Linked DNA regions of Astyanax mexicanus. The protein of the gene in region 4 interacts with the protein of the main gene of each other region in a pairwise test. Links are inferred from orthologs where the notes say so. Each region holds a gene or a part of one and is shown on either strand. Other genes may lie near its edges. The genes, in order: snx15, litaf, spg21 and reep6.

Evidence for each region.
Region 1: the proteins of reep6 (region 4) and snx15 interact in binary tests that used the Homo sapiens proteins (3 or more experiments, as listed by UniProt). The two-hybrid records come from large-scale screens. The link is inferred for Astyanax mexicanus from reciprocal best matches to the Homo sapiens genes REEP6 and SNX15.
Region 2: the proteins of reep6 (region 4) and litaf interact in binary tests that used the Homo sapiens proteins (3 or more experiments, as listed by UniProt). The two-hybrid records come from large-scale screens. The link is inferred for Astyanax mexicanus from reciprocal best matches to the Homo sapiens genes REEP6 and LITAF.
Region 3: the proteins of reep6 (region 4) and spg21 interact in binary tests that used the Homo sapiens proteins (3 or more experiments, as listed by UniProt). The two-hybrid records come from large-scale screens. The link is inferred for Astyanax mexicanus from reciprocal best matches to the Homo sapiens genes REEP6 and SPG21.

What each region holds. Positions count from the first base shown.
Region 1 is NC_064415.1:23,823,484-23,832,164, forward strand, and holds the start of snx15 (sorting nexin-15), read right to left. Parts: upstream 3,820-8,681; 5' UTR 3,715-3,819; coding exon 3,613-3,714; intron 2,632-3,612; coding exon 2,596-2,631; intron 1,905-2,595; coding exon 1,784-1,904; intron 1,410-1,783; coding exon 1,294-1,409; intron 158-1,293; coding exon 1-157. Other genes in the region: fis1 (mitochondrial fission 1 protein), read left to right, coding at 4,844-4,888, 7,832-7,964, 8,106-8,182, 8,395-8,500. UniProt on the Homo sapiens protein: May be involved in several stages of intracellular trafficking. Overexpression of SNX15 disrupts the normal trafficking of proteins from the plasma membrane to recycling endosomes or the TGN.
Region 2 is NC_064410.1:58,137,003-58,144,874, reverse strand, and holds the start of litaf (lipopolysaccharide-induced tumor necrosis factor-alpha factor homolog), read right to left. Parts: upstream 3,631-7,872; 5' UTR 3,508-3,630; intron 1,891-3,507; 5' UTR 1,751-1,890; intron 744-1,750; 5' UTR 736-743; coding exon 510-735; intron 1-509. Other genes in the region: snn (stannin), read left to right, coding at 6,019-6,282.
Region 3 is NC_064423.1:9,406,818-9,415,487, reverse strand, and holds the start of spg21 (maspardin), read right to left. Parts: upstream 3,719-8,670; 5' UTR 3,635-3,718; intron 2,530-3,634; 5' UTR 2,528-2,529; coding exon 2,465-2,527; intron 2,208-2,464; coding exon 2,046-2,207; intron 268-2,045; coding exon 187-267; intron 89-186; coding exon 1-88. Other genes in the region: clpxa (caseinolytic mitochondrial matrix peptidase chaperone subunit Xa), read left to right, coding at 5,052-5,106, 6,708-6,859. UniProt on the Homo sapiens protein: May play a role as a negative regulatory factor in CD4-dependent T-cell activation.
Region 4 is NC_064423.1:18,732,691-18,740,757, reverse strand, and holds the start of reep6 (receptor expression-enhancing protein 6), read right to left. Parts: upstream 3,406-8,067; 5' UTR 3,279-3,405; coding exon 3,152-3,278; intron 2,026-3,151; coding exon 1,932-2,025; intron 1,828-1,931; coding exon 1,689-1,827; intron 1,565-1,688; coding exon 1,396-1,564; intron 49-1,395; coding exon 1-48. Other genes in the region: zgc:113223 (tetraspanin-33), read left to right, coding at 4,999-5,055, 5,194-5,251, 5,350-5,474, 6,541-6,615, 6,952-7,047, 7,217-7,345, 7,907-8,065. UniProt on the Homo sapiens protein: Required for correct function and survival of retinal photoreceptors. Required for retinal development.

The DNA.
Region 1 (8,681 bases), on a different chromosome or scaffold from region 4:
ACTCCAGTTCCTGAGCCTGGATGGGAGCTTCTGTCCCTGCCTCCTCTTCTGCTCCCAGTTTGGCGGCCCCTTTAGGTAGGGGGATGAGAGGCGGAGGTAGAGGAGAAGAGGAAGAAGAAATTGAGGAGGGTTCTAACGGCCTTCTCACTTCTCCTCCCTGAAAAGAACGAGAGAAATAAAGAATTAACATAAAGACATAGCTATTACTGGTGAGCAGGTTTGTATGATATTTTGTGTGTATGATTTGGTTATATTGCTTAAATACAATTTCAAAATAGGAACTTTTAACTGAAACACCCCCATAAGTAAGGATTCCTACTCAAAAGGTCAGTAAAGCCTCACCATGTTCGCACGTTGTTTTGATGTGCAAAATACTTTTTAATGCATAAAGAATCATTATAACCTAGAATCCCTAACAATTATAATGATAACAAAGATAACCTAAGACATTAAAATGGTCTTCATCATTAAACACCAGCAAATACATTTTCAAACCAGTCTTTTGCTGTCTGACTTTCAGGAATGATGAAAATTATTAAAAAAAAATTCCCCACATACATATGTTAGCATTCACCCCCATTTGCTACTGGTTAACTAGACTATTGGCAACTTACTGACTGCTATCATGCTATGCTAAAGTTTCAGTTTCAATTAATTTAATTGATAAATACAGATAAATTCGAAATTACAGGAAGCCCCTGTGTAAATCAGAGTAGAAGCATAACCTGTACAGATGCTTATCGACATGTTTACTGAATGATTCAATTAAGCAGTCTCTATCATGCTCAGTGGTATGTATAATATGTTAAGCAGAGCCAGCTTTCCTTGATTTCAGATCCAGATAACAAGTAGCAAAATCTGAGTCACCAGATCTCAAATCAGATTGCAGGCAACACTAAACAACATTCTCCAGTTTAAACACTAAGAAACAATGAAGGAATATCTTTTGAAAGAATGGTATTTCTATTCCAACCCACCATTACACTTCTAAAGACATATATGTAGAATCTGTGTTAAGGTATGCTGGTGTTAATCTGGTGGCAAAACAACTCACTAAGACGCTTTGTGCTGAAACAGATCTTCACATGAGCAATGTGAGCATACATTTTAAGGCAGATACCGTGCTTGTGTACTTGTGGACCCCTGATAATATACTATAAATAAATCATTTTAAAAGAGTAAAAGAGAGACAGTAAATTCTGAGACATTCTGATAATATGTTAAAGTTGCTGACTCACAGTGAGTCAAACGTGTGTGTATGAGCACAAAGGTGTATAAACATGCAGGTCTGACCCTGAAGAATTCTTTGAGCTGTGGGCTGTTGTACAGTGCCGGGATATTTGTCGTAAAAAGCAACATGGCTTCAGCTGCCTTTCTCCTCTCCTCAATCACTGACTCATCAAACCGACCTGAGAAAGAGAAAGCAGAAGAGACAAAAAGAGAGTTTGTTTGTTGAAAACATAAATATTTTAACTTAACAGTATTTCTACTTTGCTTATAAAAAGAGTGTTTCACTTAATGTTAAAATTCTTTGGTGGAAAAATATTATTTTTATATATTTATGTATTTCTATTCACCCTTTTTTTTTTTTACAAAAATCAATCATTAAACAAAAAATCTAAATCATTAAACAGAGTAATGTTTTGAGTCCACATTCTAATGTTAGCACTAATGTTAGCACTCATATAAAGGCAATCCTACAAGGTTTACAAAGGAATTATATGGTTTTAATATATCAGTACAGCAATGATTCTGCTGCAGAACCATTGTAAATTGGTCTTACCAAACAGCTGTGCACGAGGGAAAGGGGGGAACTCTTCTTGTCTTCTGAATAGATTTCTGTGTGTATATGCCAGCTCTCCATGCAGCTTTTTCATCTCTGAGTACCGTCTCCATATCACTACCTGATAATCAAAACAGAACACCACTCTAACTCTCACTCTGACCACTGTCAGTAATTTCAATTCAGATATATTTCTTTTTCTGCTGTGTCTGTCGTTTTTATCTTACCACTTTAGGAATAATACAATTCTATTCATCCTGTTCATTTCACTGGACTGCATTCATTTATTTTGTTTAAAAACAGCCTTAACATAAGTTCATCGTTTTCAAGAGAAATATGTAAATTGTATAAGCAAATTAGTAGAGAAATGTCTTATCTCAATCATCATTGCATAAACTATGGGCAACATTTCTCCCAAATTCCAACTAAAAATATTGTCATTGAGAGCATTTATTTGCAGAAAATCAGAAATGGCTGAAATAACAAAAAGAAGCAAAGCTTTCAGACCTCAAATAATGCAAAGAAAACAAGTTCATAATTATAAAGTTCCAAAATCAATATTTGGTGGAACAACCCTGTTTTTTAATCACAGCTCATGTATCTTGGCATGTTCTTCTCCACCAGTCTTACACACTGTACTTGGATAACTTTGTGCCACTCCTGGTGCAAAAAATTCTAGCAGTTCAGCTTGGTTTCTGAAGTTTCCAATTTGGTAAAATCAAAGAAACTCATCATTTTAAGAGGTCTATTATTTTTTCCAGAGCTGTACTTGCCCAACATTAACCAAGTGACTGGACAGGATCACAACTCACCTCTTTCACATCCTCTGGTCGCTTTTTTGACACAAACTGTCAGAAGAAAAGTGAGAAAGGAAAGAAGAGCAGAAGTAAAACATTATTTCAGAAGTAAATAATTGGAAATGACAGAACTTTATTGCTGTATAAAACATATGTCAGGTTTTTTTATATTATTGTAACAGCTCTTTACATTGAATGAGTATTTGATTATTAGTGAGCCAGCAGAAATGCTCCATAATCATATATAACCTTATTTACATTTACCCTGGATTAGAAATAATATTAAAATGATTTCTAACCTTCTATTAAATGATATTTAGGAGGCATGTGTCTTTTTACTTAATTGCACCACTGTAGAATGATAGCATTTAAAGTGTGTTTTTCTGTTAAATTAATGTGCATTATATAGCTCTACACAGAATTAAATACATTTTGCACAGACTGATCTGTCTGTCCTAAACAATTCTCCCCTGAAGGCAAAGTCCTTCAACTTCAAGGCAAATCTAATCTAATATCAATCTAAACCATTGTGGCAGGAGGTTGGCAGTTTAAAATCCACCCAATGGGCACAAAGCCAGATCACGGGGGTCTCCCCTCATGCACTGTGTCACGAGTTTTATTGAATCACACTGCGAACAATGGCCCATTAATAATATTAAACCATGGTACAGAGGGGCACCTTAACCATTACACTCATCACACTGTATTTCTTTATAATCAGTCAGTGTAACAGACATTAGACATCACATATACACACATGAAACTAAGATTACTGTTAGAGTTATAGCTACTGTTCGAAGTCAAACTGAATATGTCAAATAGCTAAATCTGCTAAAACATGTGACTACTTTTGTAGAAACTCCTGCAAACGTTTTAAAATATTGAAACTATATCTATTTTGTCTGAAAAATAAGAAAAGAAGCACTGTTATCATGTTGTTATCGCATTAAAGAGCCTCTAAAGGGTAACTATAACCGAGCTAACAGTGAAATGAACGGTTGCCAGATCAGGATTAAGCTGATTTCTACTAACCCTCGCCGTTACTTTATATTCCGTGTGGCCTTTCTCGTGTGTGCGTGGATCTGTAACGGTGAAGAAACGGTAGTACTCTTCTTTCTTAGTTTTTCGAGCCATTAGGAAACGCTATATTCATTAATATTCTACAAGCAACACAGCCCCATCTGCTCCTACGGCTCCTAACGTGAAACCAGTGTTTGGGCTTTTTGACAGCTGCTTCCTGCTTAGTGACGTCCTCATGAGGCAGCGTCACCAGCGGCCAATGAACTGCGCGCTTTTCGTTTTTCCTCACTTTTATAAATGTGAACCTGCGCCCACTTATTTTTTTGCTTTATAGTCGATTTAAATAATATGTTACAATTTTATGTGTTTGTATTTGTTGCTAATACTGGTAAAAAAAAAAAACGAACCACAACTAAAACTGACCACAGCCTAAAAATGCCTGAACGTACACGTAAAAAAAACACAAATGTGACTTTTTAAAATTGTATTTATGCATTTAATTATTTGTGTACATATGCATAAAAATAAAACGTTGCAAAAATGTGGTTCAGAAAAATTGCGTTTATAAAAAAACTGTATTTCATACATATTAAATATATTTTAAAATATTTTCATTTAAATATAATAATAAACAATTAAAATACAAGATTTTAAATACAAATACTGAAAGACTAAACACACTTTAAGGAGGAAAAGCAAGAAGTCACATGCCAAATGAAGTTCATTCATTCCAAAACAACAAGAAATATATGTAATATATGATGCCTTTATTTTTATTGCATAAACTGACCAGCAATCCAACTGCACTTGAACACATAGAGTGTAAACAATAACAGTACTACTAATAATAAATATACTAATATAATAATAAGTAAGACTAAATGAAAAAGAAAACATTCTGAAGAGACAATAGACAATATACAAGTTTGGTAAAATGTGTCATTGTAAATCGCTGGAGAGCTTACAAAAAAATTATTATAATAATTATTATTATAATTATTATAAAATTATTATTATAATTATTGCATTTGTTTAAAAGAAATGCACAGAATTTAATATACATATATTGGAACTCGATAACAAATTGTGCATTGAAGAAAAAATAGAACACATTGAAATGGAACATTTAAATATCTATTACTTATTTTATTATGTATTTTTGTTTTAGTGCAAAAAAAATAGTTTGGCACACATGCTTCGTCACAGACTTTTATCCTATGATTTGCTCAGTGTTTCCGGCAACATGGAGGAGGTGGTGACGGACGTCGTAGCTCCGGAAGATTTGAAGGTAAATACGAATTTAACAGACATTAAACAAGTAGCGACTTAGAGAGTAGCCTCTTTATATCATAAACATGTTTTCTGTGATTGTTCGACCGCGAACAGAGTGAGTAAACTAGATTCTGAGACACTGGTAGTTAGACAGGCAGGACTGGTAATCGACATTACATCATTGTTGGTTGATTATTTAGCGTTACGTCGTTTACGTTGATGGCCCTTCTGTATCGATCTGCTTAATTTGCCTTTAATTTAGCTAACCTGTATCAGAAATACTAAAGAGTTCACTTTTATTGTCACATCCAATTAGCACAAAAAGTTGTCAATGTGATTGAAGATCGTGGGCACACCAACATTCACAGTGGTAAAACATACCTAATGTAGCTATACACAATAAAATATACCATATGTAGCTACATAGGACCTTATACATAAACTACTGCTCTTTTCCAACCTGATAATAAATAATCTATGAAACCAATAGCAACGAATCAGTGCAAATTGCTTGTTGTAACTTAACTCTTCCAAATTAAACATTTTTTCCCAACTCTCTAATCTATTAACACATGTGTTTAACTATTCAAAACATGTACTGGTCTAACTCAGGCAGCTTTACTTAATCTTTTAGCGTAGAATTTGACATGAAAGACATGAAAAATAGCTAAATGGCGGCTGTGCTAATAGCATAAGGACACTGAGCAAATTCTAGTGATTTTCCCAAAACTTAAGAAATAAACAAATTACTTCTAATAATTATTTAGGTAACAGAAATGAGTGCTGAGATTGACCTCCTCAGTCATAGTTACAATAAGATCAAATATACAGAAAAACAAATATTGGTCTTCTCGAAAAACAACTGATGTAACTTCCTGTTGTAGATGTGACTTGTAGAATGTTTCAGATGGGGAAATGTTTTATGGTAACAGGACTGAGTAAAACTTAGGGACACAAATAAAATGTGTATTTTAACTTAAATATAATGAATTTATTATGAAAAGCATATATTGGATTTAGAGTCACACAGCAATGCAAAAAATACGTCTGTGAAGGATTTTAATAATTATATTTCATGGTAAAGTTTATTGTTCGAGAGTGGGGACAGGTAACAAGTGCAATTTTTCAGTGTTAAAAGTAGTTTTTATTATTATTTTTTTATTAATTACATATTTTACTTTTGCGATTAGGTCAGTGTACACAACAAGATGCTTAATAATATAATGTATAAAAAAATGTGCACATTTATATATGTAATTTCCTGGGGACAGAAATAGCACCCATTCAGTGGAATGGCCCATAGATAATACACATTAATATTTACAATATTGACTTGATAAGATTAAGTATTGTATTCAAATTTAATTGTGACATATAAAGTAGGTTAAAACATTTCCTCACTGTTTAGGAGACAACACCACAAAGTTGTATTTACTAGAATGGAAATAAAGATTTTTAAACACATCCTAGCTTTCTAAGTTAACATCTTTTTAAAAGGTTATTCTGATTACGTGTTTCAGATTAAAGCTAGACATTAAGGCAGTCATTTATTGTATTATGATACAGTGCCATTCAATGGTTTGGACACACCTCTTTTCATTCTTTGTTTTTTTATTCTTTAATGATTTTCTGCATTGTGAATTTAATATTGAAGACATTAAAGCTCTACAAGAACAGATGAAGAATTATTCTGTACACATTATTCTGTGTCAGACAAACCAGAATAGGTTTTATACTTAAGATTTTTCATGATCGTGATTCTAGTTTGAGTATAGTGTAGTATCATACATTATTTGTAGACAGTGTAACAGTTCTGGGTTTATGTACAAGTGTACACACTGCAATTCCAAATATATGTATGATCCATAAATATGTGTAATTTAGGTCTATGTCTGTTGGATGTAAAACTCAACATATCAGACATATGATTCATATTAACTATTTTGAGTGTAGTAAAATTTGCTGATTTTTTAGCATTTAATGAGATAATTTGAATCAGTTTACAGTAATCAAGTTAAGTCTGTTGCCATTGGCAACTGGACAGTGATACCTGCTTAAAACATGCATGGTTGCTGCCCTATTTATGCCCAATAATGCAACAATTTGTACATGACATGTTATTATGATTCAGTTTCATGACATCCTGATAAGATAAGATAAGCTAAGAAAAAAAAGTAGTAGCACCTCAACTGTTACAACTGGCACTGTAATTCCAGTCCAGCTACAAACATCCGGTTATTAAGAACCTGCCAAGAACCTTTGGCCCTTAGATTGTGCTAAATTGGCCATGTCTCATAGAGTTTTGTTGTATCTTAAGCTTATAATCCACAATATAATCATCATATGAATCTACATTCTTTAAATGTTTTTTGACCCATGCCATAGAAGAGTCACTTTTGCTTTCCTAAAGGACCAAGTTTGTGATCGATTTGTATGTGTTTTGAGTCCTAAAGAACCTAAAGGTTGTATTAAAATTATGTGCCAATTTAAAGTTTCTTCACATTTCTTCACACCTTTTATTGCAATACCTATAAAAATATATTTTAAAAACTTTTGTTTTTAAGAATGTAAAGCTAATGTGTTAAAAATTAAATTTTGAGTGACATGCCAGATGTCATTGGACAGGAACTAGAATTATGTCCAAAGAATGTTGCAATGTCCCATGGTAGCTAAAAAATGCTGCACTGACCTGAAGGATATGTATGGGGGTCTCTTGTTTGAATGCAAATGTGATTTCTGCTGGAGTCGCATATTTGTTTGCATAACCAATTTCAGCCAGACAATGCCAGACACAATCATACCCACCCACTGCACTGTTTACTGTGGGTGCTAATGACACTGTATTAAGAAATGATAAATGCCAGCACAACTTCAGAAATGAATTGTCCTATCCATCTGGCACCCACTACCAGGTGGTATGGTTTTAACTTCCCTCTTTCTGATATTCTTTTTTTGACAGAGGTTTGAGCAAAAATACAATGCTGAACTGGTGAAAGGACCTGTGTCCAAAGAAACCAAATTTGAGTATGCGTGGTGTTTGATCAGGAGTAAATACACCAACGACATCAGAAAAGGCATTCAGCTTTTAGAAGGTGAGAGGGTCATTGGAAGAACATCAAGAACCTGTGCTAGAATAGTTTTACAGATCCTGCGAACACATTATTTTGTTGAATTCTTCAGAAGAACTTGACAATACACTGCATTTTCATCTTATGTTCTGTTCACTGTGGCAGAGCTGTTGCAGAAAAGCTCAAAAGAAGACCAGAGAGACTTCCTGTTCTATTTGGCTGTTGCAAACTACAGACTCAAGGTGACGAGAACAGTTCTTATTTTCTGTTCTAAATGAAGGTAAATTATTTTATAAATGTGTCTTTCATCATTGCACTGCAGTCAAGGACCATGTTGAACAGACTGTATTAATAAGGTTCTGTCATTTATTAGTGTTATTCAAAGTTTAAATTAGTAATAACTGAATTTCTGATTGATTTGTCTTCGTTCTGTTCTTATCTATTCTTTTCTCAGGAATATGAAAGAGCTCTGAAGTATATTCACATCCTACTCAGAAATGAACCAGGAAATAAACAGGCCATTGAAATGGAAAAGCTCATCAACCAGGCACTAAAGAAAGGTGTTGTATATGTGTTTGAGCTCACTGTATTTAGAGAATGAAGGATCTACCTACTTGTAGGTTTCATACAAATCAAACTGTGCAAAGTAGTAAAAGTAGTAAACACTCCTCTCAGAGTGACGTCAAGCTCTGGACAGCGGTACAACATTAAGCAATAAATATCAGATAATAAAGAGTTCAA
Region 2 (7,872 bases), on a different chromosome or scaffold from region 4:
TTGCGTACTTTTTAAGTTATTAATGCCTCATTTTAAATGGCAGGGCTCTCCGGATTCTAGCAGGGAGGTGTGGAGCTACTTTGAGCTGGATAACTGTGGAAAAAGCGATTTATCGGGGCAAATTATGCCACGTGTCATCCAGTCTGAAGGGTGTTTGGACAAACTGTTCAAATTTCTGTATCTCTGAACGCTGTGGGAGAACGGAGGTGTGCTATTCATCAAAGGTAAGTACTTTTCATCATGATTTACTACAACAAAAGTCCATTTTACACTAGAGTTCTCATTTAAATTAAATATTAAGTATTCAACCTTTTTTTTACTTAAGTAATGCAAGTAGTATATTCTTCATCAAACCTAGTGACAGTGTAGATCATCTAACATTTATAATTTATATTTATGATGTAGCAATGATGTAATGCTGCAGCACATACACACACACACACATAGTATCTCCTAATTGAATTAGGCTCAGTCTCCAAACTCTAGAGAAACACCATGCTCCTACTCACCCACAGGAGCTCCAGGTCCAGTGGGAGGAGGTGGAGGTGAGTACATCTGGGTGTAGCCCTGGGCTGGGTAGGGGGGTTGGGGGGCCTTGCTGTAGACAGGCGGAGGGGGCATATGAGCCCCGGGGGGGAACGGCGTTCCTGCGTTCACAGACTCTTCATAAGTCGGTGGGCAGGGAGCTGCCTGTCCCGTCGGACCCATGATCTCCATAGGAGGAGCGCTGGCCATCCCTGGAGCTGTGGAGGAAAAGAAGAAGCAGCAGCAGCAGCAGGGTGAGGATCAGTACAAATGCTCAGCCACATTCACATGTTTTATCACAAATTCACCATATGACATTTACTATCATGATATGTATCGTAAAGATGGAGTTTTATTACTATAATAAACAGTCTGCTGCTTTTCTGTGTACATGTTGTGCATATCACCCATTCACATGTTTTATTTTAAAATACCATGTTTAGTTCTGATAGGAGAATGGATTTCAGCAAATTGTTTTGCTGTAGTACTATTAGTGCTAAAGCCTTTTATCTGCATCTCAAAAAAGAGTAATGTATTTTTTGTGTCCTGTAAATGTATACAAATATATATACACCTGTACATATATTGTAATGCTCTGGAGCAGGTCTGGGTTCAGACATATAGATAACAATAAAGAAAAAAAAATAGTTTCCTCCATCCAATTGTTTTTTTTTTTCGCCCCTCAAACATACAAATACATACTAGTATTTTAACTGACACCACTAATATAAATATCTCATGTCTTAAGAAGAACAAGTGTGATTAATCACAGAGAATTGTTCAGATTAATCTGATAATGTTTTTAATCGATTGACAATATATATATATATATATATATATATATATATATATATATATATATATATGTATATATATGTATATATGTATACATATATATATATATATATATATATATATATATATATATATATATATATATATATATATATGTGTATACACATATAGGTACTGCCCACCTGTACTTACTAACAGTCTATCTCACATATACCATATTTTAACCATAGCAGTTAGAATAAAATGCTCTATTAAAGTGAAAGTGTTCAGCCACTTTTACACGTTTCATCACAAAGTCGCCATATTTCCTCTTTCAGCACAACTTCAGCCTTCAGCCCAAAAACAAACTCCCCCCTTTACCCCTCATCCCCCCGTCTATCAGCTCAGTAATCAGACAGTGTATAAGATCTCAGCAGTGTCTCAGACTCACGCTGTGTAGAAGAGCTTCAGATGAGGGAATTAAAGTATATTTCTCTAGTTTTTCATCTCCGTCTGTTTTCACAGCGTTTCTCCAGTTCCGCCTTCAGTCACATGGGCTCAGTCTGGAGGAGCTCCCGCCCTTCACTCACACTGTAAACAAAACACCAGAAAAAGACCCGGATCAACATCAGAAGTGAATTATTAACATAAACTCTGTGGAACGTGAAACTTCAAGTGTGTAAATGAATTAATTTTATATGTATATGTATGTGTATGTATGTACATATAAATATAAAATGAACTAATTTATACACAATTTATATGCCATACCATATGTCTGTTTTTGTTAAAGAGCATAACAGCATATTACAAAATATTTTAGTATGAAAGCATCTATTTGTAATGTATAACAGTTTCCTGTATCATTGCTACATCTGCTGTTTGTAACAAACCAAACCTTGTAAAAAATTGGGTAAGGATTGTTAGAGTTGTGATTATTATACATTTATAAAACACAGTTCTAATAAATGCACTGAGGGCACATGATTGTTGTAACTCTTTCAAATAAAACTTTTTTTTTTTTATCTTTTTTCAACTCTGAATCTAATAACACATATTTAACTATTCAAAACATGTACTGGTCAAACTCAGGCAGCTTTACTTAACTTTTTACAAGGTTTCTAAGCCGAAGATTGTTACAAAACTCACGTGACATTAAAAAAAAAAGTCCACTAATTCCTTTGATTTTCTATGAGAAAGTCTTTATTGTAAAGAAATGGTTGACTGCATGTTTAAATAATTGATATTTATGACAAAACAATCACTCCTATTACCGGCACTCATTCATGTTGCTGGAACTCACTTCTGTTAATTTTTATGTTTTGGGTAACAGAAATGAAAGTCCACAACATCTACTTTACTCATTATTACATAAATTGAAACTAAGTTATTATTTTTCAGAGGACATAGAATATGATCCTTAACCCATACATCACCCATTTCCCCTCACAAACTACCACTCCTATTTTTTTTACTTTTTCAAATTTGAGTTGTTTTGAGGGTGGAGTCAGCAAAAATCAGGGGTGTCTAGTGCCCCTTTTATAAAACCCTTTTAGTGTGGAAATTTCCACCTCTGCAGCGCTCTCTAGGTTTAACTGTGCTATAGACGAGGATGATGTGTCCGTGTACTTTGGAACGCAGACAAATCACAATACGGAGATCACACAATCAATAATACCACCCACCTGCTGATGTTCAACCATCTGCATTTCACTGCTCTCCCTCCTGCCCCGCCTCCAAACCCATACATCATCAAGTGCCCCTCCCAAACTACCCCTCTTATTGTTTAGACTTATTTTGAGGGTGGAGTCAGCAAAAATCAGGGGGTTTAGTGCCTCTTTAATAAAACCCATTTTGTGGTATTTTCCGCCTCTGCAGCGCCCTCTATGGATTAACTGTGCTATAGGCGTAGATGATGTGCAGGGTTGCCAGGTTCAAAAAAAAAATCCAGCCCAAAGTCAGTCTTAAACCCGCTCTTCAAAAACTTAAACTAGCCCAAAATATATGTCTGTCACATGTTTGTAGCAAATAGCAAAACAACTAGTGTACGACCAATTTTATTATTTATTATAAGTATTGGTATTTATCTTTAAGTCATTAACAATACTGTAACATTAATGTTTGATTAGTTATTTTATAACAGTTTTATATTCCAGTCATTATTTAATAGCAACACAATTAGCAAAAAAAGCACTGACTTTTACTTACTCATTTCTGCTCTTGCTCCTCCTGAACTCCCTGCTCTACTCTTTAACATATTTTTTATCACCTGGTGATTTCTGGTTACATTGTGATTTTTCCTCTCCCTCTTCATCCCCATCTCTCTCTCTCTCTCTCTCTCTCTCTCTCTCTCTCTCTCTCTCTCCCCTCTCTCTCCATCTTTCTCTCTCTTTCTGTATCTCTCTTCCCCCAGCTCAGCCAATCAGCTCTCCTTCATGCCCCGCCCCTAAACCTATACATCATCCAGTGACTCCCCCAAACTACCCCACTCAGCAAAAATCAGGGGGTTTCGATCCCCTTTAATAGCATTTACATTAATTTTTTTTACATTTTATTATCTTATGTATTATCTTATGTATATGTTATTTATGTATTGTATTTTATTTTTATTATTTGGATGGCTGCTGGTGGTAAATAAAGCTTTGCCCCGTTTCTATGCAGCTGCCGTTTCCGCTGCTCTGATTGGTTGAGCTCAGTTTTGCAGCTGTGATCTCACTTCCTTCCCTGTGACAGTCAGTCTCCCAGCGTTCCTGCTCTGCTGGGTTATATATTGTGTTATGATGTCGCTGCTGCAGCGGGTTTAACTCTGATTCGTCTTTATTATCGCCATATTTACTGTATTTAGTGTTTTAAACCGGATTAAACTGGATTAATCAGGGCCGGGGACATGGCGGGGGGCGGTCCGGAGGACTGATCCGCTCGGTAACGGGAATGAAGCGGCGGAGCTGCAGCGGATCATGGTGAGAAATAGAGAGTTTATGAAGGGATAAATTAAATATGTTTGTAATACAGATAATCTGCAGTGTGTGCTCTAAATCTTGCGCTGATTCTTGGTGTTAAAGTTGACGAGAATCCCGCGCAGAAGGAGGTTCCTGTTTCTCAGATCAGAAGCTGTGTGTGTGTCTGACTCTGATTTCTGACTCTGGCCTAACTCAGGCTTTATATCAGCTAGTTAGTGTTTTTGCTATTTCGGCACATAAAAACTGTTTTTAGTTATTATATAAGAACTAAAAATATAACATAAACTACAACACTACCCCTAATTTATTTAAGCTCTTCAGGTCAAAGAGCTCTTTTTAAGCTCTTCTTTATTAGGGCTGCAACGATTAGTTGATATAACCAACAATGTCGATTATAAAAATTTGTCAACACCAAATGTTCCTTGACCTAATCGTTAATTTGCAGCACTACACAAAGTACTAAACATGCCTAAACGCAACAGAGTACACATTTCCTCACTAAATATCAGCACTTTCCACATTTTAAGGGCAATGTTCTGGACATATGAAGGGCATTTAAATTCTTTGTTTAGCTGAAGCAAAGACATTTAAGACGAAGACGAAGAAAATTAGAAACAGCAGCCATACCCAGCCATCAAGCAGAGATGGAGGGTATGGCAGAAATGTTCGTTGACTAATCGACTAATGGGAAAAATAATTGCCAGTAAAGTCGACTACCAAAATAAGCATTAGTTGCAGCCCTATATTATATATATATATTAGTGGTGTCAATCGATTAAAAAATGTTTTCAGATTAATCACAACAGTATTCTGTGATTAACTGTGATTAATCACACTTGTTGTTTTTAAGATGCAAGTTTTTATAGTGGATATTTAAATGTTAATAAAAGACTGAATGTTGGAAATGCAAAATGTAATTATATTTATATTAGTGGTGTCAACAAAAATACTAGTATATATTTGTATGTTTGAATGGAGATAAAGCCAACGTAGGGTGCTGGAATAGAGAATTCATGATAAATTAAATTGAGTAAACTTTTTTTTTTTTTACTTTACTGTAATCATCTCAACCTGGCTGTAAGGATTTCTGAATTAGAACCTAATTAAAGTTAAATTAAAAGTATACAAATCTCAGGAATTGTTTGGTATTGCACACATGCTCACAATGGTCCAGGTTTAGTCAGTAACCGGAAATGGGACAAAATTCAGTGTACAAACTTGTACCGTAAATTGTCAGGGCTATTACTGATTCGCTGTAAATATATATTTTATATATATAGTAGATTGTAAAAGCCAGAGAGCGATGAGTAGTGTTTCTTACACCTTTAAAAGACTCTTGGAAACTGGAGAAAACTGCTACAGGAAGACGTCTGGCTGACCCACATGGAAACAGCTTTAGCCTTTAGCTCTTTAGCTTAACATGATTGGACTAAGTCTCAGTTTTAGCAGTGAAAAGTAGAAGAGGTCTGACAGGTGAAGAAGGGAAATAATAAAGTTATTGATAAGATGAGAATTTTTTTTTTTTACTAATAAATAATATTTATTAATACATATTGGAATAATAAACTATTAATAATAATAAACTATGTGAAAAGACCCTTGGTATTGAGGAAAAAGCTGATACTCATTATAACCTTTCCATGTTTCTCTTTTCTTTCTGAATCAGATATCCAAAGACCTGTAGGCCAACAAAACCACGCTGGCCAGCCTCCCAGATTGATTTATTAACACCAGGAACGACTTCTCCTCCACAACAAGCATGTCTATAATGGACCACAGCCCCACCACCGGCGTGGTGACCATCATCGTGATCCTCATAGCCATCGCCGCTCTGGGGGCGCTGATCTTCGGCTGCTGGTGCTACCTTCGCCTGCAGCGTATCGGCCAATCCGAGGACGAGGAGAGCATCGTCGGAGAGGGAGAGACCAAGGAGCCGTTTCTGATGGTCCAGTACTCAGCCCGAGGCCCACGGGTCGAGCATAAGACCAAGCTGACCCCTAACGGTACCGAGAGCCACAGCTAATTCCCCTGTTACAGGGCAGATGTTCTGTGTGAGGGTCCACAGGGGTCCGATTCGGTCGATCCTTGTATTTAGAACAAGGACTTTCAGCACTTAAGATCATGATCATTTCTCTTTTAAGACCGGATGTGGCTTCAGGTTGTCTCACACACATGTACACACACACACACACACCAAACATGACCAGTGCATGCATTTGTCTAGCTGCTTCTAACTCACCCTTGTTTGGACATTTTCCTATTAGTGTTTGTCCAGTGGAACCCTGTTATAATGTGAAACTGAGGAGCTCCCTGCATTTTTATAGAAGAGCTGACCTTTATTCATCTGTTCAAATCACTCCCTTAATGTTTAAAGGTCACATATTTGTCCAAAATGCAGAAAAAAAAACACATTTTCTGTTTGTAGTATTTTAAAATAATTCATGTTTCTGCCAGAGCTGGCTCTGGTGTGCACTGAAAAGGAGGAATAACTGCAGTCTGTTACTGGATTTATTAAGTCACTTTAAACAAGGGAAGAATAGATGCACATCTGACATGCTTTTTTTTTTTACACAGGAAGCGTAATGACTGTATAATAGTCAATAGCAGTAATTATCTTAAAGGGTGTTCTCACACTAGGCCTGGTTTACTGGTACCGTACCTAAACCTAATGATCATCCCTGCCTTTTCTCCCACTCCAGGATTTAGTATGCTTACATCATCACAAAGTACATTTTTGGTTTTGCGTTTCTTGTCAAGATTGCACAGAATTTTGTTACAGAGCGTTTACGCTAGTTAAACTAACCAGACTTTTTGGGGGAGACAAGCTCAAACACAGGACAGACCACCTAGTGTGAGAATACCCGAAATCAGAGTTTTGATGAGTAATTCTAATACTGACATGCCATCAAGTAACTTTTATGTGCATCTTACAAAATTCATTTAATCACAGGTCAGGGTTATGATGATGTATGGGTTTAGGTTTTAGAGATTTATTCAACTGATCAACTTAAAATTTCTACATAATTTAGTGATTGATGTCTGAACAGTCATTCAGAGTGGACAGTGTGAAATTATCATAGAAAATAATAGAAATTGATTTTGTTGATGCTTTTAACTTTTTGCCTGTGTGAATCATTGTTCATAATACTATATATGCTGTATATATAATATATATATATCATGATATACCACATTTAAGTATGTGTTTAGTTATTCTTCGAAAAATATGACAAAATTATATAATTGCTTACTTTTTTACTTTATTTCAAAGTGACATTAAACCCAACTTTCACAAATGAGAATTACTACCTTTTAGTGCAGCAATATATATGTATCAAATGAAAACAGATGAGGTAGATGCAGTAGCTAATTTTTTAAATATTATACAGGTGATTGTATTTATTGTATTGACAATATTTGTGATTTATTGTATTGACAATATACCCATGAAAGGATATCAAAGATACCAGTGCTGTACATTTCATTAAAGAAAGATTATTAGTCTAGTTTAATTGGAGGAATTACAGTTTATTTTCAAATAAAAGTCACTGTACTCAGTATACGAAAGTAACGGTATTTGAACAGCGTTTTTTAAAGATATCACTACTGATGC
Region 3 (8,670 bases), about 9.3 Mb from region 4:
TGAGGGAGTGAACTCGAGGGGACTTGTGGGTCACCTCTGCAAACTTCTGAGCCAGAAATCCTCCCAGGGAAGCACCAAATAGGTGCACCTAGTAATACAGAAACAGGGTTAAAGTACTTGTTGTGATAAATGGGGGGTATGTCCTTTCACAAAGAGATCCTTAACAAAAAGGCAAACCGGACAAACCTTATCCAGCTGCAAGTGGTCGAGAAGCTTCCTAAATCCATCACAAAATTCCAGTAGGTCCCAGTAGACAGGGTACTGGAGCTGCGTGAGATACAGAGAGAGTTAAAATACTAAACTGAACTGCTGCCACAAATTACTATACACCTAGCTGAAAGATGAAAAGTGTAACGTATTTGGAGGGACTGAAATGTTTGTCTTGTGAGTCATGAATGAGTTCACAGATGAGTTAATCTAACTTAAAAGGCTGTAAATCTGTACGTATAATGGAATGATTGCTCAACATGCCATTACATGCAGGTCCTCGACAGGCAGTAATATGCAAGCTATCAATACTAACAAACTCATTGTTATTGTTACTTTGAACACAGGTCCTTCTAAAAGACAAAAATTGGCTATTTTTAAATTGTTTCTTAGTTTAGTTGATGAATATAATTGCTAATATGGCCTGGAGAATCCCACAGGGCCTAAAAAATGGATGTAAAGTAATGTTTTAATGACAGTTGAAAAACACAGTGTGGGTCTATTTTCAAATGTGCAGTGTACAGCTTGATTTAGGGCTTGACAATGTGTCTTTGGTATCGTAAGGGTGCAAAAGAATACGCACAATTCTCTTAATTAATCATGGGTGTGTTTTGGGCGTAAGGTGAAATAAACCAACCAGGGTTTCACTTGCCTTTTCCTTTAAGAAGCAGGTGCTCTCAGTCTTTGGCAAATTGATATTTTAACAGCGCAGTGCTTCTGCGCTTCTCAGCAGAGAAAACTGACCTGCTTGTAGGCAATGTGAAGACGTGCAAGCAGCTCATTTATGGGAACTGCTATGGTCATATGGTTTCATTTGGTCTCATATGGTTATGAGAGACATGTCATCTGCTGGTGTTGGTCCACTGTGTTAAATCAAGTCCAAAGTCAGTGATGTAAGATTTTCTGGGAAAACTGACTTTGGACTTGATAGAACACAGTGGATCAACACCAGCAGATGACATGTCTTTCCAAACCATCACTGATCATCAGTAAATATTACATTTCATTTGTAAATCAAGGAATCAGAGTCTGGAGGAAGAGTGGAGAGACACACAGTCCAAACTGCTTGAGGTCTAGTGTGAAGTTTCTACCAATCAGTGATGGTTTGGAGAGACATGTGATCTGCTGGTGTTGATCCACTGTGTTTTATTATCAAGTCTAAAATCAGTGCAGTGTTTTCCCACAAAATCTTACAGCACTTCATGCTTGCCTCTGCTAACAACTTTTATGGAGCACACTGCCCACACTGCCAAAAGGACCAGTTTTTGTTATATAATATTCTATTTTCGAAATACTGACTTTTGGGTTTTTATAGGCTGTAAGCCAAAATCATCAACAATAAAAGAAATAAAGAAACTTTTATATTTTTTTTTAAATGCACGTGTATATTTAAAATGTGCTGATTATGTCTGCCATATAAGAAAATGCTTGTTAACAGTGACAACTGTCATTGACACTTATTGTCAAATATTTGAGTAATTTGCTCTTTCATTTTTTGATGCTTATCTTAAAAGAAGAGCTTTAATGTAAAACAGCTATGCAATAGTTTTTAAAGAAAAAAATCTATTCAATTTAATTGAACTTTGTCATGATACCAGTACAGGGTTTTACAGTACAACAAAACACTGTAGGACTAATTTTCCGGTGCTGTGATAAGAATAGATAAAAGGAAAGTTTCAGATGATACTTACAGGTTTCAACATGAAGTGAAACCATTTTACTCATAGTCATCTTTGAAAAATAAATCTCTCCTTTAAGACAACTTAATCTTCACTAGAACTTTTGATTTGTAAAACTCTACAGACACTCTGAACAATGGTCAGTTTTAAGAAACTTACCGAAATTACCCGATAGCCCCAACCGGTGAGAGCCAAAATCTGCTGAAAGAAAACCTCAGCTGTACCGCTCACAGGAGGAAGGAAGATGATTGGGCACCTGATGGTCTTTGGCCCGGCGTCGTACAGTGACCAAACTTTACTGTCGTCATCATCCACTATGATCTGAAAAGCAGCAATCGCAGCACGGTGTCACAAGCACAGCAGCCTGGCCTCAGTCACATTCCTAAAGGTGCTGGATCACAAGGCTATCACATGGTTCAAATCATGAAGAGATGGAGCGACTTAAGAAGCCATAAAGAAAGGGTCATGGGATATTAAACACAAAAAATACCACTAATTTTAAAATGAAATCCAATAACAATCAGACCATACAACCTGACCTAGTTGTACTAAAACATATAACAGAAGCATAAGCTTACCCTTTTCAGGGGCACTGTGCTTCGAAACCAGTTGTAGTCAGGAGACACTCTTATCTCCTCCATTTCTAAAATAGAATCAATTTACAGGTTAAGACACAAGAGAGACTTAACACAACTCTGTACAGAACTCTGCGCAGGACTCTGTACAGAAACAATGCTCCTCAGTAGCGGCTGAAAGGGCTGCTTTGTGCAACATCACATTCCTTGTTAAAAGTGAACAAATAATTTAATTACAGCATTAATGTTAGAACAACACCAGAACACATCCAACATGGCCTGCTGTGGACCACTTAATGTCAGTGCAGGCACTGCAACTGTAAAATAACGTTATATTGAACCATATAACACCTGTTATCAACACTTACTCTAAAATTGCAGATTGACACTGAAATAATAACACAGACACTAGTCATTTTAAATATGATAGATAATATGTGGACTCTACTTCTCAATTCTAATAAAACATTTATTTAAAGGATTCTTACACCTAATATACACAATTCACCTTAAAAATATCAGAAAAAAACAACCATGTTTAATGCCTAAATTGCTTACACAAAAAAAGTGGATATTTTTTTATTTTCGTGCCCAAAACAACATACATCTATATTAAATAGTGACAATAAATCTAAATAAATCTAGGAAAAAAGGTAACTACAGTAAAGCCCCTGTCTACTTAACTATCAAAGAAAAAAACTGTACACACAACAGCTTACACAGCTTTTATCTAATCACGTTGTTAATGATGGATCACTTTGTCACACACACTAACCTAACCTAGCTTACTCGCTAAGATAACTCATGTTTTTGTCACAATTCCTATTATAGTAACTGCATATACTAAACGATATCACTTACTAACAACATGTCTGGGCGCAGAATTACAGACATTTCTCCTGTTAGACCCAGAACTTTCGGTTCCACCTTAAAACAGGGGCATTAGCTGCGTTCCAAAGGGTGTTCAGGCGGCAGTATTAACAGCAGCACAATTTAAGGTGGAATGGAAAAGTCGACTAGAAAGCCAAGTTCAGCTGGTCGTGTGCTCTAAAATACGGAGTAAAATAGCGATATTCTAACATTGAAATAAGCCCCGAAAATATCTTAAAGGGCTGCATTATATCACAGAGCTGTTAATATAACAGTACTGTGCTTTGTTTAGATGTGTTTTACCTTTAACGGAGACTTCAGCCTCGGATCAGCACCATTTTAGCAACAAACCGAGAAGTCATATGACAGCGAGTTCCGCATCTTACACACGGCTCTGCGCATGCCCAGTACGACCACCACGTTATGGTGACGGAGAATATTTTAAGCATTAAATTATATTTTAATAAATCAAAAATAAAATGTAATAATTATTTTTATGCTAATAACATAATGTATTCCTTTAATAAATGTAGTCTAATCGTTTTTTATGTTAATGGAAATAAAATAATTGACTATTTTAATTTGTATTTTAATAAATATAAATTAACTATTACATTTAATTATATACGTATAATATTTTTATTATCATCCGGTCATTGACAAAAATAAATACATAAATATATAAATAAATATGTAAACAAACAAACAAATAATTATATAAATAAATAAATACATACACAAATGCTGTGTTCTGGATTGCTGCAAAATGCCTCCTGCTGTTACAGTATAAATATATATATATATATTTATACAGACTGGAACCATATTATCTTTAATGTCAAATCCAGGATCTATCTGTTTGGGATCCCACAACATTTGAGTTTGAGGCCTCGTGGTGAGTGCTTCAATCCTGTCTGTAGTTTATAGAATAAAACAATAATGTTCATTTTACTCAAACATAATATACCTATAAATAGCAAAATCAGAGAAACTGATTCAAAAACTGAAGTGGTCTCTTTTTTTTTTAAAGCTGTAAACCTGTGTAATATCGAAATTTGGCATCGGCCTAGAAATCCCACATCGGTGCAAGTTTACATTTGTCTAGTGTGCCTACTTTTTTATTTATTTAAAATATAAGGAGAAGATAAGCTTCCATGTAAATGAATACTAACATAGCATATGTAGACAGAATACCATTACAATGATGTTGATGGCTATAATATTCTTCCGGGGATGACTATTGTACAATATTTTTTTTTTCTATTGTACAATACATAACGTTACAGCTGATGTAATTACTAGTGAAAAAACATAGGTTTTTAATAGCTGGCCTGTATTTCTGGGGGTATTTCAGGTTATTCAAAATCTCCTGTACTGTAATAATCTGGCGTCATCTGGCCACAACCCACAGCAGCTCTAAACCTCCCCTCCAGTCACCTGGGTCGGTGTCCCTCAGAGCAGGCTGACGTTCTCTTTCCTTCAACTCCTGACATTTTCATTTCACCCCAACGGACTAAGGAGGGCAGCAGTGGACCTGCACTAGTTGTTCAACGCTCAGGTCCGCTAGCTTTAGCGAGTTCAGCAGCTAACTGAATGGTGGTGATGGTATACAGCTGGGGAGCAGGTTAGAATATCTGCTGTTTATTATATTCCGGTATTTCACTGCTGAGCTGCTATTTACTCCAGCTGAACTAGAAGAAGTTAGCTAAGGCAGGAAACCATGTCTTGTGCCTGCACCTCAGCAGCGAGACTCTTCATAAACTCAGCTCATAAAGGTAAGAGACACACTTTATTATGCTGCTAAAACTTTAGCTCTAGCGTTAGCTTAGCACAGACCTGGACTGTGGGCTAGCTAACACTAGCTAGGAGATAAAATAAAAAATAAGCTTATTTTTTGGTCAACATGGAAAGTTCTCTAAACACTGGATATGTACTTCTAATAAACTGTTGAGTATTGTAGTTGTAAGGCATGTTTTTTAGAGTACAGGGGAGTTAATACCCGGTTAGCCAAAGCTAGCTAACCTAACCTACCTGACAGACATTTAACCAACCTAGCTAACGTTAGCTACCGGCTAAACAACGGAGCAGCTGAAGTATGAATGTTGATACACCAAATTGCTACTATTTAACTTACAGACATATCTAAATCGGTTTAACAGTGTAAGTTAGTAATTTTTTTAAAGTCGTTCACTTAATTTAACAATCCATTACATCATATAAACAATCAGTTTAATAGCTAAATTATTCCTTAGTTTAATAAACCCTTCAGTTATTTATTCCCTTATAACTCCCTTAGTTTATTAGCTAGCTAAATAATTTAATTATTTTTTCCCCTGAGTTTAATAAGTTGTTTCCTCGGTTTAATGAATCGTTTCCTCAGACTAATGAACTGTTGCCCTAAAATAATGAATCGTTTCCTCGGTTTAATAAATTATTTCCTCAGTTTAATAAAATGTTTTCCAGGTTTAATTAATCGTTTTCTCCGTTTTAATAAGTTTGTTTCTTTCATTTTTAGTGAATTGTTTCCTCAATTTAAAATATTGTTGTCTTTTTATTTAATAAATCACTCCTTCAATTTAATAAATCGTTCCCTTAGCTTAATAAATCACTCCTTCACTTAAATAAATTGTTCCTTTAATTTAATAAGTTATTTCTTCAGTTCAATAAATCATTTCCTTAGTATAATAAACCTCTGCTTTGGTTAAATATTTTTTCTTTCAATATTTCCCTTGGTTTGGAGTTGGGTGCTTTCGTTAAATTGAGACAGTAATTAATTTAATCCAAGGAGCGTACTGTTGAATAAAGCGAATGGTTTGTTTATGTAAGGTAACAGTGTATCAAATAAAAAAGGAATTGATAAATCAAGAAGTAGTAAAACATCTACACTGAACAGTGAGTTTGACTTTAATAAGTATTATTTAAAGGCTTTAAACTGAACTGACTGTAACTCTACAATTTTTCTCATATTTTGAGCTACCTGTTTGTTTGTTTTTTTTTAATAAAAGGAATTTTGAGATGCACTTGCATTCACCGTGGTTGGGATTAAGTGGCGGAGGGGCTTCACTTAGGCCTAAGTTAGGCCTGTAACTAAGTGTGAGATTGATTAAATTAATTATTTCAAATGCAAAGTGTGTTTGTGTATATTTAGTTTGTTTGTTTAGGCTGTGGTCAGTTGAATGTTGTGTTAAGCAGTTTAACCTGATTGTGTGTAGATGCAGCTTCATGTAGACCAGGTGTGGCAGAGAAAACAAACAAGAACTCTCAGATATTTTACGCAATTTAGATTATTTTTCATACTTAAAAATAAGTACATATGGTCATCCTACATTACTGTGTGTGTGAGAGTCACTAAAATTATTTTCTATGTTTTGTCTAGGAATACATGGATCAAGAGTACAGCTGTTTTCTCTTAGCCGAACAGGATCTCATGAAATTCGTTTGACCCATAAAGTCCCTGTGAGATCTTTCTCAGAGACCTGTGTGTACTATGCATCCAAGGATGGGATGAAGGATGGAGATGGTGGAAAGGTAGTTCTGTGTTTATTTCTTTAATAAATCCCTATGCTTAATGGGATAAGAAATTATTAAAATTGTCTTTGTCTGGATGTGCAACAGGTTGGCAAGCATGGGTAAAATAAAATGTTATGTTGTTTAGCAAATTTAAGTTTTCTTATGAACATGTTCTTTTATTCCCTTAGCAATACCATTTCAACATTTTGACAGTGGACAGAGCTAATTACACTGACATGCCCAAAATTATAAGACATTTCTATTGTGCCTTAAATGTGGATGTGATCACACACTTATTGTGCTGTTTACAATAAGTTCAGGTTTTCTAGATCATACACAAGTGACTCTTTGGATAAAGTATTAATACGTGTCTAAACAACTTCCAAATTAGAATGTGTTGTCTATTTGGTGCAATCTAGCTCTGATAATTCACATTGCCTTGCTGTGAGCACACTGGCCAGTGTTCAGCCTTACTCACAAGATAAAACCTCACAATTTATACAGTTGTAAGTGTTCTCAAGCTGTCTCCTGAGATAACATTACTTGAATGTAATTACATAGTGCTATCCCATGACCTTTGACATGTTTGTGTAAATGCAGTTATATGTGCACCGCAACACATTCAACATAGCCTAATGCAATGTTAGGGCATTTCCACACCTGTAGTTGGTTACTATAGTCTAGTTGATCAGTTGATAAGTTTGTTTACTTGGAGCATTTTCTCCCTCTGTTTGGTTTGGTTTCACACAGGCATAAATCTAAACTCAGCAAAATGCTCACCTATAAACCACGCAAGCACATTGTCTCCTCTGATTGGTCAGACTGTCTGGTGCAGGAGCAAGAAAGTAAATATAGCAAGAAGATTTTGTGTGCCAGTTCCAGTATATCTATAATATATCTGTAATATATATATATATTTTCCTTGCAGTGTATAGTGTATTTTTGAAATATTTTATTTAAAAGTGTTTTGTCATATCTCCAAGAGTATTGTTATTGCAAAAATACCATGAAATATCGTGGTATTATTTTAGGGCCATATCGCCCACCCCTACCGCAGATGTACACTTAGTAAATGAAATCGTGCAGCTGCGAGTGCAGAACTGCAGCACACCCAGCTAACCAAATAACGTTGTTGTTACGTGCGCGCGACGTAACTTGGTGACCAAGTTATCACATTAATTGTGCATGTAAACAGCATGTAGCAGAGTTTAATAGCTGTGGTAATTACTGTTATCAGACAAATATAACAGATTAAACTGCACCTTATCAGCAGTTAAAGCTCAAATAAAAATAGTATATTTAATAGCTGGATCAGATACAGACCAGATCACGTTCTCACCTCAAGTGAACCGCTCCAGAGTTTGTTTGGGACCGAACCGAGACCACCTCCACTAGCAGGTGTTTTGATTTGCACCCGAGTGCGATTACTGTTTTTACACCTGCTCAATCAAACTGCACAAAGGGCACAAACAAACCAGAGTCCATTTTAACCAGACCAAATTGTGCTAAAACAGTGAGCAAACTCTATATCTCACTCTTACAATTTTGTAATTGTTAATATTCTTATTCTTATTATTCTTATTATTCTTCTATATTTAGTTATTTAGTATTACTAACAGTATATATATATATATATATATATATATATATATATATATATATATATATATATATATATATAATTAATTTCTTGGCTCTTTTTCTGCACTGTATGGCTGTTAATTAAAAAAAAAAATCCTTATCTCATAATAAATTCTAAAGTCTCTGAAGTGACTACCTTTACAGGTAATGGAAAAATCTTCACTTTCAATGGAAGTCAGTGTGGGTGA
Region 4 (8,067 bases):
CCATTCTCTCAGATAAGGGAATCCTGTTTTTCGCCAGACTCTGAATAACTGACAAAGACAAGGTGACAAAGTCATAGTTAACATTAGTCAGACATGTAAAACCCTTTAGTTTCAGCATTGCTTTAAACATGTTTTGTCATCTTGCATTGTGCTGTGTTAAACTCTGCTTATTTATTTACACTGCCACAGCCTATTTTCCCACATGTGCTCATTGAGAAATCCAAGAACACTTACTGACTAATTAAATCAAGCACAGAGTAAGAATTACTGTATTTTTTGCACTATAAGACACACATAAAAACTTTTAATTTTCCCAAAAATCGTTAAACAGGAGTTTCAGTTTCAGCACCGGGGCTGGAGTAGTATTAGCATTAGCTGCTAACCACGCTATGCATTCTTTCACGGTTCAGAGGTGAGTATTTTCAGCCTGTAGCCTGCTGCTATCCCCAGCAAGAACTGCTAAAGCAGAATTAGCATTAGCCTTTAACCACGCTAGAGCTTTTGTTGTTCAGGGGTGAGTATATCAGACTGTAGCCTGCTGCTAACCCAAGCTAGCACTGCTGGATTAGCATTAGCTGCTAACCACGCTAAGCGCTAGCTCTTTTGCCATTCAGAGTTGAGCACTGGACTGAAATCTGCATGTTTACTGTGTAAACAAACAAGCTACATTGGACAAACCACTAGCTAATATCACCCTGCCTTACGGGAACACTCAGAGTTCCTCAGTGTAGCGCTGTCAGGCAGTATTTACTAGCGCTAACCATAGACTTCATGGAAATCTGGAAATCTAAGCTTACTGTAAACAGAAAACGCTTTACTCATCCAAATAAACAGTTTTCAGGAAAGAAATCTGTGTAGATTATCATCCAGCACATATTTGACTTTTTTTTATTACAGTTTACAGTTTGTTTACTTAGCTTAGCTTTACTTAACTTAGTTATCCCCCACCACCACCCACCACCTGCTGAATTAGAAGGAAAACATGGCGACACTCCTGTTTCTTTACTAGTATTACATAATGCACCTTATAATCTGGTGTGCTTTATGTATGAAAATAGACATACATGGATAGTGTGCCTTATAGTGCGAAAAATACTGAGCTATAATCCAGCTCTTTATCTGAGTTCCTGACCAGATTTTTAGACCTTTCTTCAATGTAAGAAATCAGATTGTGCTGTTTACATCTCTCCATTAACCGCATTAATCCGATTATGAGTGGATTTTTTCATATAAACGCTCTTACTGACCAAGATTTAAGAATCTGCGATAGGATTCATAACATAATCTATGGTATATTAGAAAGAGAAGCTTTAAGGGAATGCAATTCTTCACAAAAATAATTATTAAAGTTTACTGTTCATTTTTTATCAAATTAACTATCATATGTTCACCTACCCTCTCTTGTGACAGACTCTGCAGCGTTCATGGCCTTCCCACTAAGGTCGCTGACCATGTTGTCCACAGTCGCCTCATGCTTGAGGAAAAATGGCCGTACTAAGTGATTATACAGCACCTGAGAGCCATTCCAGGAGAAGGGGGCCATGCACCACAACAAGAACAGGCACTAGAAACACCAAAAGACAAGATGCATGATTAGTTGGAGGGATAAAATGTGTTATGTGATTATTGTAGGTATTAAAGGGTTTGCATGTGATGGTCACTGTCCTCTAAGTGGCAAAAAGACATACCTTGAATACATAGTAAAAAGGAAACCAGTAGAGAAAGATGTCAGAGAAGAATTCACCCACACCAAAGAATCCATACACCACCCAGTACGTGAGCCACTGTGTATCGTCTTCCTTATTGGGACTCTCAATAGCCTTTATTCTATAATAAAGATTTAATACACAATATAACTATGCAGTAATACGTTTCTTAAATGTAGGAAATTATTCAGAACAAGTATTATAATAAGAGTTAAATACACTTACGAGAAATATGCAGGATAAACAAAACCAATCAAGTTGCAGAGCAGGGAGGCTCCATACCCAAACAACAGATACAGTCCAGTAACAGAAACAGCTCCTGTAAAGATGAGAGGAAGAGTATAATGTGAAGTCAGATTTATAAATGTGAAATGAAGCATTTTTAGTTTCTATAAGACTTAGAGTACAGTGTTACTTGTTTAAACTCCCCTTTTTAAAAAAGAATCCAATATTTTTCAAAAGTAGTTTTATCCTATTCTTAAAACAATTCCAATATTTTAAAAAAATAGTTTTAACCCATTCTCAAAAAAAAAAATGTATTTTTTAAGTAGTTTAAACCCATTCTCAAAAAGATTCAAATCTTTTTTTTTTTGGGATATTTTTTAAACTATATGAATCTTTTAAAAATAATCAGTTTTCAAAAAGATCATCGTTTACATTTTTTAAAGAAGTAGTCCAAACCCATTCCCAAAAATCTTTAAAAAAATAGTTCAAACCCATTCTCAAAAAGATTTTTTTTTTTAATAGTTCAATCCCATTCTTAAAAAGATTCAAATCTTTTTTTTAAGTTGTTCAAATACATTCTCATTTTCTCTTAAAAAGTAGTTTAAAACCATTTTTAAAAAAGATTAAAATCTATTTTTTTCTTTTTAAAGTTGTTCAAACCCATTCTCAAATATAGTCTGAATCTTTTTTTTCCAAATCAGTTTAAAAAAAAACATATCTTTTACAAATACCTTTTTAAGAGCAGTTTTTTTAGCTGATATTTTAGTACATAGTTTAACTCATTTAGAGAGGAGTAATATTGTACAAAGGGGACCCTTACTTAGGTAACTTACTGGAATTGTTTCCACCAGTGTGTTCACTGGTAATAGATGAATATATTTTCAGAATTTAATAAGCTGTTTGACAGTTTGTGAACTAGCAGCGTGTCTGTGTGTCTTTATGAATGGTCTTATCGTGCAGGAGATCTGTTAAACAGACTGAGTCACTGGGGCAGAAGGCATAAATAAAGACACGCAGAAGGCCGGTAACATCCTGATTAGTGCTGTTCCACCTGCTGCTGCTCAGAGGATTAGAGTCGCGAGCTCTGTGCTGTCTGCTGTGTTTCCTCTCAGCTTATGCCTCTCATTCCTCACCTCACTTTACCGAACACAGCGGGTCATAGCGGGTAATTTAGGACCAGTTTAACTTTCCAGTTTAAAACCAGAATGAGCCCAGCTTACCTATGGCCAGGTAGCGCTTTTTAATTCCAGTCTTTTCCTCGATTTTGTTCAAACAGTCCGTGACGATGTTCTTCTCGTTGAGAAAAGCCTCCACGCGCGTTTTTATCTTAGTGAAAATAGACAGCATTGTGAACAGAGTTAATAAAGGTTATTTTAAAGGATTAAAAGCAGTAAATATGAACGCGGACATCAGTAGTGAAGCAGGTGAGCGCTCTGCAGTTTCGCTGACATGCCAGAGCTCAATTCATCCCCCAATCGGCTTTATGAACGGGGGGAGGGGGCGGGGTCAGGCTGCAGCCGCGCGGAACTGGCAGAGCAGCGACCAATCACAGAGCAGTGCGCCTGAGCGTCACTCCCTCAGAGCCATGACGAGGATCCAGAGCCCAGACCATAATAAACACTAATCTGAGGAGGTAACAGTAGCACTCATAGACCTGTATACATAGACGCCTCAGATTACAGAATAAAACAGCAAGTTTTTTTTTTTGAATAGCCAGTTGTAGGTAAGTGTAATGTCCACACAGTTACAGGTTCAATATAATTATCAGGAAGGATCAAGACTGTTAACCAATTAATTCCTCTCTGTAATGACCGCCTGTAATCATCCCAGAGGAACTGGAAGTAGTTTCACTGCTCCACTGTTTAATGCTGCGGGATGTACAGCCCTATTCCTGATGATAAATACTAGGCATGGCCTTTTTTGCGGCTGCTCCAGAGTTTCCTGTTCTAATGATAATGCATCATTCTACAAGCTAATAATCAGCAATGGGTGCATTGTCATGGAAATCAATAAAAATTTAATGATTTTCCATGGATATGGTTTTATACCAATCAATTATTAAACTTTATTTTCAGTAATAAAGAAAACAATAGAGAAAACAACATGAAACGTAACTAATATTTGATGACAAAATAAAATATTTTTAAAGAAAAATTTGAAAGTAAAAATAAATAAATAAATAAAAGATTATACAAAAACAGAAAATTATACAATGTAAAGTTTTGTTTTGTTGATAAAACATACAGTGGGGAATCCAAAACTTATTTCAAATACAAATCAATGTACAATCTTTACTGAATGTTTTTTTTCTGGATTTTTAGTTAATATAGTGTCTCTCTCGCTCTTAAATTAAACAGACCATTAAAATTATAGAATAATTATAGACTGTTCATGTCTTTGTAAAGGGGTGAACTTACAAAAATTATTATTTTCCCCACTGTATATATACAGCTCTGGAAAAAAAATTGAGATCACTTCAGTTCTGAATCAGTTTCTCTGATTTTGCTATTAATGGGTATATGTTTAAGTAAAATGAACATTGTTGTTTTATTTTATAAACTACAGACAATATTTCTCCCAAATTCTAAATAAATATAGTGTCATTTAGGGTATTTATTTGCAGAAAATGAGAAATGGCTGAAATAGCAAAAAAGATGCAGAGCTTTCAGATCTCAAATAATGCAAAGAAAACAAGTTCATTTTCATAAAGAGTTAAGAAATCAATATTTGGTGGAATATCCCTGTTTTAATGCATCTTGACATGTTCTCCTCCACCAGTCTTACACACTGCTTACCCAGAGGTTTTCAATTTGGTAAAATAAAATAAACTCATTTTTTTTTTTATTATAATAATTATGACTATTGTGTTTCTTTCCTCTGTTTGTGGGAAAACATGAGTAATTAATGAAGGACCCCTCAGGTAACATCTACGACACTAACGTCAGACAGGTATTTTGAATGCAAGTTGCTGCTTGTCTTTCACACAGCAATGAGGAACTGAGGAGACTGTGTCAGACTATGCCGAGATTCCTTTCTTTTTTAACATAAATGGAAGAAAACGTCCGTAATGAGAACTTACAAGGGCATTAAGTACACTTTATTTTTCTGCTGTTACATATTCTGGGTAAGTGTCTTCACAGAGTCTATGAAATATGGTCTAAAATACTATTTAATAGGGAAAAGAATGCAGCATGACTTATTGTACTGATGTATTGATTGTTTTGTATTTAAAACAAGCAAAATGATTCTTTTTTTCTTTTAGGTGGCCAGTGGAGTGCTGTTTGCTGTTGGCATATATGCTAAACTTGCCAAAGAAAAAGGTACTGAGTTTGTTTTTTCATTAAAACCTCTAGCTGTGTCTCTCATGCTGTCTGTGTTGTTGCTCTTGTTCATGTTCAGCACTGTTGTGATTTTGCAGATGTGGTGGACACACTGACCACGGACCCCGCTCTTCTGCTGCTCACTGTGGGCTCGCTCATGTTCATTATAACATTCCTGGGCTGTTTTGGAGCTCTGCGGGATGCTTCCATACTGCTGAAAATGGTAATTCATCTCTTATACAACTATGAAGTTGAAGTTGCTTGTTATAAACAGTCACCTAATATAGTACTTTGTATGTTGTATGTAATATGTATGCATTGTTATATGTACACTGATCAGCCATAACTTTATCACTACTGACAGTTATAGTGAATGACATTAATTATCTCCTAGCAAAAGCACCTGTCAAGGAATAACAACACACCCTAATAAACATAAGAACTGGTTGTGCCACCTTTAGCAGCTGGAACTGCAATCAAACGCTATAATTTCCTATAACTGGAGATCAGATTTTTACATTACATAAGGAATACACACCAATCTTCAGATCCTGTAAACTCTGAAGGTTGTGATGTGAGACGTCCATGGATGACATCAGTAAGACCTGTGTGACAATGTTTCTGTCACCAGTTCTCTTTCAGATCTCTTTCAAATGCTCCTTTTTTAACAACTGCATACTGGAAACACCCCGCATGATCCGATGACCTGACCCATTATGGCTCAAATCTGGTATTTTTTTTTTCATGACTGTGTGAATGCGCAAAATCTGATTTTTTCAAATCAGTTTTTTTCAAATCAGGTTTGAGTCACTTTGTCTACATTCAAATTACCTTGCTAAAGTGACTCAAATCTGTTTTTTTTTTCATGGCTGTGTGAAAGTGCCAAATTCCGACTCTAATCAGATTTAAATCACAATAGCTACATTCACATTACCAGGCTGATGTGACTCATTTCTATTTTTTGGTCAATATGGCTCAGATGGGATTTTTTTCATGGCTGTGTGAAAAAATCTAATCTAAGACTCAAATCTGTTTTTTTGCTTAATGTGGCTTAGATCTGATTTTTTCATGGCTGTGGAAACGTGCCAAATCCAAATTTTTGAGAGGCACAACCTGGTTATTGATGGTCTGACCCTACAGTTTGGCAGTTATCGAAGTGGCTTAGATTCTTACACCCATTGTCCATTTATCTGCCTCCTGTTTACTCATATCTAAAATGTATATGATAATCTGTTTATTCACTTCATTGGGTTATGAGTATTTGTAACTTTTCATGTCTGTTCTTCCAGTTTTTAGGAATTTTACTGGTTATTCTGCTGCTGCAAATTGCTGCTGCTGTCCTGGGCTTTCTCTTTTCAGACATGGTAGATATTAATCTCCTTTTTGGAAACTATTGCTTAAATTATTTAATACTTACTTTAAAACGAATAGCTTATCTGTGGTTCTTGGCTTAGACATACAGAAAAAAACTGGTGTAGAACCTTAGTACTGTATTAAATACTCACGATTTTTGTTTTCCTTGACTTCAGGGACAGTTTAGCGTCTCTCAGCTTGACCAGAAATGCATATGTAAAATGTACTATTTAGTGGGGGCTCAAAGTGTAAATTTAACTTCCTGACTGTAGGGGAGTCTGGAGGCAAAAAAATACCAGTTCTTGCATAATGACCCAATACTTATCATGTCTCTGTTCATCTCTTAGGTTTTACACAGGACTGAACAGCTCATGAAGAAAGCCATTGTTCTGTACCGAGAGGACCTGGACTTAGAAAATGTGATTGACTTTGTGCAGAAAAAGGTTTAATAGATATTATAATTATTTCTATAATATTATTTATGTCTTAATAAGACTTTATTCATGGAAACACTTGGTCGGTCTTTTAAATGTATAAATGTTGTAAATTCACTGAATTTCTCTTTATTCTTCTGATTTTTTTCTGGTGAATCATGTCTTTGTTCTGCTGCAGTTCCTATGCTGTGGAGTGGATGATTACACAGACTGGTCTCAGAACGTCTATTTTAATTGCTCTGAGAAAAACCCCAGTCTGGAAGCCTGCGGTGTGCCTTTCTCCTGCTGCGTACGACAACCCAACGAGGTCAGACTCAACACAAACATCATATAATGAGCTTGCCTTCAGCTGCCGGAGCCCTGAGAGAGCATGATCGGCTTTGCTCTCTCTGGGTGGGTAGATGGCACTTTCTTCACACATCACTCCAAAGGGTGATGTTGATCAGCACGAGGCGTCTGTGAGCTGATGTATCGGAACCGAGTCGCTGTTCTTTCCTCCGAGTGCGCTGTGATGCTACTCTGCAATGCTGCATCAGCAGAAGTTGGAAAAGAGGTGGTGGCTGACTTCACATGTGTCGGAGGAGGCATGTGCTAGTCTCCACCCTCCTGGTTTTGGGGCATCACTAATGATAGGGGAAGGTAATTGGCCTTGTACATTTCGGAGCAAATGGGATAAAAATGAAAAAAAAAGGGTACCATATAGGGTTCTTTAAATTGTAGCAAAATTGGATCCCCTTTTAAATGTTTTTATTTCGAGCATTCAGATGGTTTTGTGCTGCTTGGGTTCTCCTTTAAAAGGTTACAGGTTACGTGAAATGCTTTGTAGAAATACTTCCTCCTGTGGATTAGTAACTGTGTGTGTTTTCAGACTGTGTTTAATTCCATGTGTGGCTATGAGACTCAGAGGGATGAGTCTTCACCCAGTGAGCGGATCTACACCAAAGGCTGCCTGGAGAAGATTGTACTGTGGGGGAAGCAGAACCTTCTGCTGGTGGGAGGAATGAGCGTCAGTCTGCTGTGTCTGGAGGT